Xenopus tropicalis: one gene and its partner. The protein of the gene in region 2 interacts with the protein of the main gene of each other region in a pairwise test. Links are inferred from orthologs where the notes say so. Each region holds a gene or a part of one and is shown on either strand. Other genes may lie near its edges.

Region 1 (4,589 bases), on a different chromosome or scaffold from region 2:
CATCCCCAAAATAAATAATTATCGCATTACAGTGAGTTTGAGTAGTTCCTTAACTTCAACAAAGGATGGATTATAACAAGATTAATTCCAACAGGGAGGTGATTTAAATCTGGGCTTTATGATCAGTAGGGAAGAAGGTCAAGGTAAGAACAATCTACTTACTTCTCTATATAGAAATATGTTAAATCTTTGCGTTTGCACACTTGCGAGAAAGGCACATAATTTTATTAAAGCCAAGGTTCCACTTGTGCTATTTAGGCTTAGACAGCAGAAAAATGCCACAAGGCGTTTATAATACGCAAGAGTCAAACATCCATTTAAACAGTGCTTAGTAACGTTATTTGTGTCACATGACACATTGAAACTTATGTATTATAAACAAAAAAATATGTACCCCCTTTTCCAAAATTAAAAAAATTAGAATTTGCCAAGGTGAAAAAGCCAAAGGATTTTGTGCTTTTATACAGGTTATGGAACTTTTAATATACTCAAGAGCCATAAACATCCTGTAGCCAATATGCTTACAGAGTGTGCTTAGTGATGTCATAGGTTATACTCGGTGCTTAGTGATGTAATCTGTCACATGACTTACTGAAAACTGTGAATTATGAAAACAATGTACCCTGTTATAAAATTACAATAACGATACATTGTTGTCTATATTATCTACAGTTTGGCCAATTCCCTACGGCATTGTAAACTAAACTAGAGACCATTTGCCTGCCCGTAGTATAACTTCTCCTGCCGGATTGTCTGCCTCCTCAAGACCCGCTCAATCAAACACTGGCCCCTCAGGCCTGAATCAACTACTTTACTGCGTCCCCACCAAACTGAACAGCCAGACCCTCCCACCTAACCGCCTGCTCAACAGCAACAAAGGGAAAAGCAGATCTGACTATAGTTCCAGAAGAAACAGGACTTTGAAGAAATGGAGAACAGTGAAAGTGTGGGGGGGGGGGGGGGCAGACACATGGGAGAAAGTGTGGGGAGCAAACAGAGGAAAGGGAACAAGGGGAACTGTAAAAGGGAGGTAAACAAAACATAAGCATGGATACAACTATGCCCCCTAGCCACCCTGAGCAAAAGAACAGCATACTGGCAACTATCCCCCACATCTGTGAGGAGGGGAACAAAATGGAGGCAGAGGTGGAACTATGCTACCCACAGGGCCCCCACACCACTTATATCTGTGGAGCCCTCCTGCCTCTCACACATTGGGATCCTCTCCCGCAACTCACAATATAACCCCGGGGGTTCAAAGGGGGGGTCTAACAGGTCAAGTGCTGGTCGAGAGTTTAGGTTCCAGATTCCGCCTTTGACCCCTAAGGCCTGCAGATTGTATTGAGGATGTACCCAGTACTAACATTTATGAAGATAATAGAAGTCACCAAGGAGTCACATGACCATATACACCTTCTGAAAATACAAGGTCATGTTTATCTTATCTATAAGAAGGGGTACATTAGTCACTATATACTTTAAATTTAAGGAAATATTAATCTTTATACAAATATAACTGGGGCTGGCCAACCTAAATGGGACAGACACTAAATGCCAGTCGGGGTAAGATTTGGGGAGAATGACTATACTTACATGCCCCGTGCGAAACATCGTCAGATCAGCCACACACCATTCAGGGCTGAATCGGCAGGTAAGGAGGTAGAAACAATAGGATTTCTACCTCCTTCTGCCGATTCAGCGGTGAAGGGAGATTTTGGTCAGAATTTGGTCAAAATTTTCAAACTGGTCCGATCGGCGAGTCGGCCGATATCAGCAGCTTCCTGCGATATTGGTCGACTCGCCGACATACCATACACGCACCGAATATCGTACGAAACCTCGTATTATCGGTGCATGTATGGCCACCTTAAAGCTGGCCATACATGGTAAGATTAGTTTGCTTCGCAAGGTTGCCAAGCAAGCTGATCTTCTCTCGATATGCCCAACTGAGGGTGGGCACTATTGGGCTAATCTAGTTGTTGGGCCCTGGGGCCAAACAATCGAAAGAAAACAGCGAGTATAGGCACGGGTGGATGCGGTCCCGATTTGATGGAAAAATCAAACCTGCCCGATTGAGATCTGCCCAATTTCAGGCCAGACGTCGTCAAGAAGGCCCAATAAGCAGATAAGCTGCAGAATTAGTGTAAAGGCCCAATATCGGCAGCCAAAATTAACCCATGTATGGCCACCATAAAGGTCAGTTACATACTCAGGGCTGGGGGAGGGGGGGAACAATTATTTCCTGGAGATATCAGAAAAAGCGGATATAAAACATAGCTCTGATCAAGGCTACAGTGATAATTGCCTAAATGAATGTGGGGGGGGGGGCTGCCTAAATCCTGGGCAGTAAAGGAGGTTTGGGCGGAAAACCCCGTGCTGTAAGGAATGTATAGAGTGCGAGTAACCCGTAGCTACACTTCCCTTCCTATCAAGCAATAAATGTGAGGCTAACATACCTTCCATGCATTCATTCACCGACTCGTAGTCTGCATAGGTCCGGCCCTCGGGTCTCTTGGTGGGCTGTACGAGTAGGATTGTGTGAGACTGCAAGAGAGAGGCCGTGTGAGCTCTACAGGCAAAACACAAGCAGAGGAGCAGCTGCAGAGCCCCGGGCCGAGGGGGGCCTCCATCGCTACATTATGGGGCCGCGCATCCCGCCCCCTGGAACTCAGGAGCCCGCCGCGGCCTGCAGCTGCTTCTCTGCGCCCTCACCCGCTAACAAGCCCCGCCGCCCAGCAGCCATTCCTACTCACCATATCTGCGCTTTCTACACACCGCAACTTAGCACCCGAAGCAGCAAGCAGGAAATGGAAAGTCGTGTTTCCGGCGGAAGTAGTTAGATTTAAACGCTCCAGGTATCATACAGCGAGACTAGTATGGGAGGTCGTGGCGGCCATGATTAATAAGGGCTCGGGGTGTAATATGACTGTACGTGTATTTTATTTATATAGCGCTGTATGTATGTATCGCTGTGCAACAGCACAATAATAAACAAGGGGTCATTACAATAATGAATAAAAAGTACAAGAGCTATGTGTCAAAGAGACAAGAGGATGGAGGTAACGCCTTAAACTATATAATAGTTAAATTTAATTGTTATATATTTTATTGTTATATATTTTATTGTTATACATTTAATTGTAAATATTGTTATACGAGTTTATGTCGTTTTCTGCGACGCTTTTCGCCTGTTTGTAACTACTAAATGCTTATGTGCGCCACAAAGGGGCGTGTCTCTGTCTTTATGTTTATTCTATCCACGCAGCGCTGTCCGTCTATCTACGTTCCCTACTGTGACGCCATTGTCCAGCTAACCCGGAAGTAGTCTCATGTAATGACACCATGGCAGCCGCGGCTCTGAGGCACAGCAAGATGGCGGTGCGTATGTGCGAGAGCCACTAAGGTTCCTGCGGGCTGTCAGAGTCTGTTGAACAAGCCGGAGCAGATTTTTGGGCTCAGCGGTAAGGAATAGCCCTGTGGTTCGTATTCGGTTTGAGCTGTTCCGGACCGGCTGTGCCTGTCTGTTAGTGTGTGAGTACCTACATTATTTATCGGTATAGTGCACTGATTGGCAACCTCGAATGGGACAAGTCTTGCTGAGCTACACCTGCCATGGGCTGAAGTATAGGCAGGGAGTAGTTTTGTGTATATGTTTTATGAGGCTATTTGTAAATGACAATAGTATAGGTAAATGTAATTTATATCCACTATGTGTCTGTATAGTTGTATACTGGCCCCAGTATGCATAGCATCATGTCCATTCCATGAGCACAGATCAGAGAGACCATGGAGTACATACCATAGCAAAGGATAAGCATCAAACTGCACAGGAAGGTTATATCTAATCTTTCTATTAATAGCTGTAGTTACTAATAGCATTAAGGGATATCAATTGGTAGGTGTGGGTGTCCCAAAGAGCTCACTGTCTAACTAAGAGTAGTGGAACCCCCCACAGACATGGGGAACACAATAGGTTTATGGGAGAGTAAGGGGAAAGTGTGTTAGCGGCTAATGAAACGCTTCCTTTAACAAGTGGTTTTATGATTGTTCATTACTGGGGTAGTTCACCTTAAATTTAACGTTGAGTTAAATGTAGGCAGTGGTATTCTGACAGTTTGCAATTAGCCTTCATTTTTTGTAGTTTTTTTCAATTATCTAGGTTATGGTTAAACAACTCCTGCAGTTTGAAATTTTCAGGTCCTGTCTGGTTACAGTGGTCCAATTTATCCTAGCAACTAGTCCATGCTATGAACAAAAGACTGAAAAAGCAATAGGAGAGGGCCTGAGGATAATTAATACAAAGTAGCAGTAACAATAGAACTATATCCATCCAGGTCATTTTAACCGCAGGGGGACCCCCCCCCCCCCCATGTGAATACTGGCAAAAGAGAAAAGCAAATAATGTAAACAATATACAAAATAAAACATTTAGACCAATTTAAAAGTTACTAAGGGCATTCTGTAACATACTAAAATTAATGTAGAAGTGAACTCCCCCTTTAGAGTTGTAATTAGGATCCAGGCGTAATGTAGTTTACAGCCTTGGGTGAATGGAAAAGCTGCAACCCTAAAAATGTCTCTTGTGAAAA
Region 2 (3,822 bases):
GTATTCACTGTTTGGTCACATTTATTGCTGAATGTTCAGTCCTGGTCTGTTCCAGACTATATCATTGTTATTAGGCAGATACAGCAGCCGCAGGTTTTGACTGTAACTTTCTGGCGCATGTCTGCTCACTGGGGGTCATTAACAGGAATTTAGTTAGTATAAAATGTGCCAAGATGTTTGACATTTATAAATAGGTAATATTTGAATGGTTCTTTGGTGGGTAGGGAATGCCTCTTAATTCGCTATATTAATGTATTCATTTTGAGTTAAGTATTTTTCACTGAAAACAATTGTTTCTTTTGATCCCAACTTTGTTTTTTCTCTTCAATAAGGCTCTACCTTTCACAAAGGTTGTCCAGAATGACACCTACACTGCACCTGCTGTCACACAGGCTGCTTCAACTGCAGCCCCCTTACTTCGCACAAAGACTTTGACCAACATGTCACGGACACTTGTAACTAAGGAAGATAACACTCCACTACAGGTGGCATCTAAAGAGGTGACTCACTGTGCATATTATAAAGAAGCAGGATTAGTTTAAATTTGTGTTGCAGACTGATAGGATGTTAGTGCAAAATATTTATTCCATATTAAATCTAAAAGTATTGTATCTTAAATATGCTGTGCCTTTTCTTTCCATTGTTCTAGCATTTGAAAATAAAGAGTTGTCTTAGAGGCAAAGAGTGCTTTCTTTGTCGTAGCTATTGTTATAGCTAGCCCTTTACTCTTTATATCCTGTTATAATGTAGTTTTGATATGGCATGAAACTGGTTCAGAATCCTTTATCAGTGCTGTCCATCTTTGACTTATTTATGGTTCGGTCATTTGATTTTGAATAAAAAGATTTCTGTGGAGCCGTTGGGCCCGCATGTCATAAAACATTAATTAGAGCACTCCCTCTATCCCACAGCCCTTAAGTTTGGTGATGCATCTTAATTGATTATCAAAAGAAAAAAATGTTTGGAGAAGGTTACATTACACCCTGTGAGAATTTCAGGCATGAGACTCCCACACTGTTAGATTGTTAGCGTTAAAATTATTATAAGTACATGGCTTACATTCCACAGTCCTTTACAGAGCTTATACATCATTGTAAAAAGTGGAAATTACAATCTAAGGTTTATGTGACACATTCACACACACTCACACATTTTTTGTCAGGAGCGGGTTACTTTCTTTTTTGAGTGTGTGGGGGTGAAACCCACCCAAGCATAGGCAAAGCAGATTCCTTGTGGGCATTTCTATGGCTGGAGTCAGACCTAGGACTCCAATGCTGAGGGGAGCCATCACTCTGGTTTTCAAAAGCTGGCAAATTGTTTACTTAATTGTGATACATTAAACCAGTGATCCCCAACCAGTGGCTCATGAGCAACATGTTGCTCAGCAACTCCTTGGATGTTGCTCCAAGTGGCCTCAAAGCAGGTGCCCATTTTTTAATTTTGCAATGCCAAACAGAGCCTCCTGTAGGCTGCCAGTCCTTTTAGGGCCTTCAAATAGCCATTCACAGCCCTTATTTATCACCCCAGAAATGTTTTTATGCTTGTGTTGCTCCCCAACTCTTATTACATTTACACATGGCTCACAGGTAGAAAAAAGTTGGGGACCCTTGTATTAAACTGTATTTCTTTGTAATTTATAACTGATTGATTTCTTTTATTTTTAAGCCGGTCTTCAGCCCTCTAGAAGGTACTAAAATGACAGTTAACAATTTGCACCCTCGTGTCACAGAAGAAGATATTGTGGTAAGTGTCATATACAGAAACATTAAGATTACAAAGTGAACCAGGCAGCTGGCAAAAACACACTTGTTGTTTTATATGTGCATGGAAAGGAAAATTCTGCTGTAAAAGAAGAGTAAGGCATATTGCAAGGAAAAATAATAGAAGAAATCTTTTGAAGGGACAATTGACCTTATAATTTACATTTAGTGGTATGTGGGTAATGGTGTTCTGAGGCAATTTGCATTTGGAGTTATATTTAAAAAAAAAAAAAAAAAGTTCACAAAATAAACTTTTTCTGCTATACCTTTCCTCTCAGGCCTGAGCCTAGGGTACACGATTTTAGGGGTTGCATGCCTCCCAGCCACAGCTCTTGCTGTTTTGTTCATTCTTACCGACAACAAAGCACTGGTGACTGAGGGGCATATTTGTTGCTATGGGCAACATCACCATACACTCTATAATAAACTGCTTCCTGCTTGAAACTACCGAGCGGAGCTGCGGAAAAAAAAAAAAAAAATTTCAATACGCCCTGTATACTGACAACTATTTTAAATGATCTGCCACTTTTGGGCCATGACTGTGCTGTTGTACCGAACTTACATTGATTTCCATTTACTAAAATGGCAAATGCTTTGTGTTCTATTGCTGTAACCATCCAGTCTCCTCCCTCAGTGTTTCTAATAACTATGCTGTAATAGGACTGTCCCTGTTTTTAGTGGCTTTCTAATCTAATGATGTGGTATTCTGTCTGACTTTTTTTTTTTTAACAGGAGTTGTTCTGTGTATGTGGAGCCTTAAAGCGAGCCAGACTGCTAAGTCCTGGTGCGGCAGAAGTTGTTTTTGTGAGGAAGGACGACGCAGTTGGTGCTTATAAAAAGTACAACAACAGATACCTGGATGGTAAGTGAAAAAGCTAAAGCTGAAAGGCTTATTCATCCTAACTGTCTGTGTCTGAGAAAAGCTAGGATCAATTCAGACAGTAAAAAGGAGTTTAATTGGTTTTGTGCATAAGGAGTATTGAAGTTCTGCTACAGAAGCTGCCAGTGCAGATATTTGTTATTACATTACATTACATTAACATTTATTTATAAAGCGCCAACATATTCCGCAGCGCTGTACAATATGTGGGTTACATACATTGGACATACAGAGTAACATATAAAGCAATTAATAACCGATACAAGAGATGAAGAGGGCCCTGCCCAAGAGAGCTTACAATCTACAAGGAGAAAGGGTTGAGACACAAGGTGTGGGAATGGGCATGACCAGAGTTGTGAGAGGTGTGGCACAGGGTATTGCTAAACTAGATTAGGGTAAGCCTCTCTAAATAAATGTGTTTTTAGAGATCTCTTGAAGGCAGAGAGATTGGGAGAAAGTCTGACAGTTTGTGGGAACAATTCCAGAGAAGGGGGGCAGCCCTTGCAAAGTCTTGAATGCGAGCGTGTGAGGAGGGAATGAGAGAGGAGTTGAGGAGCAGGTCAGTAGAGGAGCGTAACAAGCGGGTTGGATGGTACCTAGAGATGAGTTCAGAGATGTAGGGTGGGGCAGAGTTATGGACTGCTTTAAATGTGAGGGTCAATAGTTTGAATTTTATCCTGGATGGTAGGGGAAGCCAGTGCAGGGATTGGCAGAGTGGCATGGCAGAGGAGGAGCGGTTGGAGAGGTGTATGAGCCTGGCAGCAGTATTCATTATGGACAGGAGAGGGGACAGTCTTTGGAGGGGAAGGCCAATTTATAGGGAGTTACAGTAGTCCAGGCGAGATATTATTACGACTTGTAATGTGCTAGCTTAATTACTTAATTTAAAATAATGTATACTGAAAACATAACCTATTAGATATATTTTGTGTGTTAGTTCTGAAAGCTTATATCTAAATAAGATGTGAGTTAATTAGTGAGAAAGTGACTGCACTTAATTACGTACCTGCGTTAATTAGCTTCAATGTTCTCCCAGCCTAGCCCATATTTGTTAAGATGCCCTGTCCTGCTCCTGAGAGAGCGACCTTTTGTATGGTATATAACTTAATCCACACCTTTATATGCTTATGGATTGTGAGGAAATAATCCACAGACGCAAGAAAATAACCTGGTTATTACTCC

Evidence for each region.
Region 1: the proteins of poldip3 (region 2) and erh interact in a two-hybrid assay, tested with the Homo sapiens proteins (2 studies listed by BioGRID, with this or other methods). The link is inferred for Xenopus tropicalis from reciprocal best matches to the Homo sapiens genes POLDIP3 and ERH.

Annotation. Positions count from the first base shown.
Region 1 is NC_030684.2:109,825,666-109,830,254, forward strand, and holds the start of erh (enhancer of rudimentary homolog), read right to left. Parts: upstream 2,862-4,589; 5' UTR 2,757-2,861; coding exon 2,754-2,756; intron 2,545-2,753; coding exon 2,457-2,544; intron 1-2,456. UniProt on the Homo sapiens protein: May have a role in the cell cycle.
Region 2 is NC_030680.2:115,102,117-115,105,938, reverse strand, and holds part of poldip3 (polymerase delta-interacting protein 3), read left to right. Parts: intron 1-332; coding exon 333-500; intron 501-1,665; coding exon 1,666-1,743; intron 1,744-2,492; coding exon 2,493-2,622; intron 2,623-3,822. UniProt on the Homo sapiens protein: Is involved in regulation of translation. Is preferentially associated with CBC-bound spliced mRNA-protein complexes during the pioneer round of mRNA translation. Contributes to enhanced translational efficiency of spliced over nonspliced mRNAs.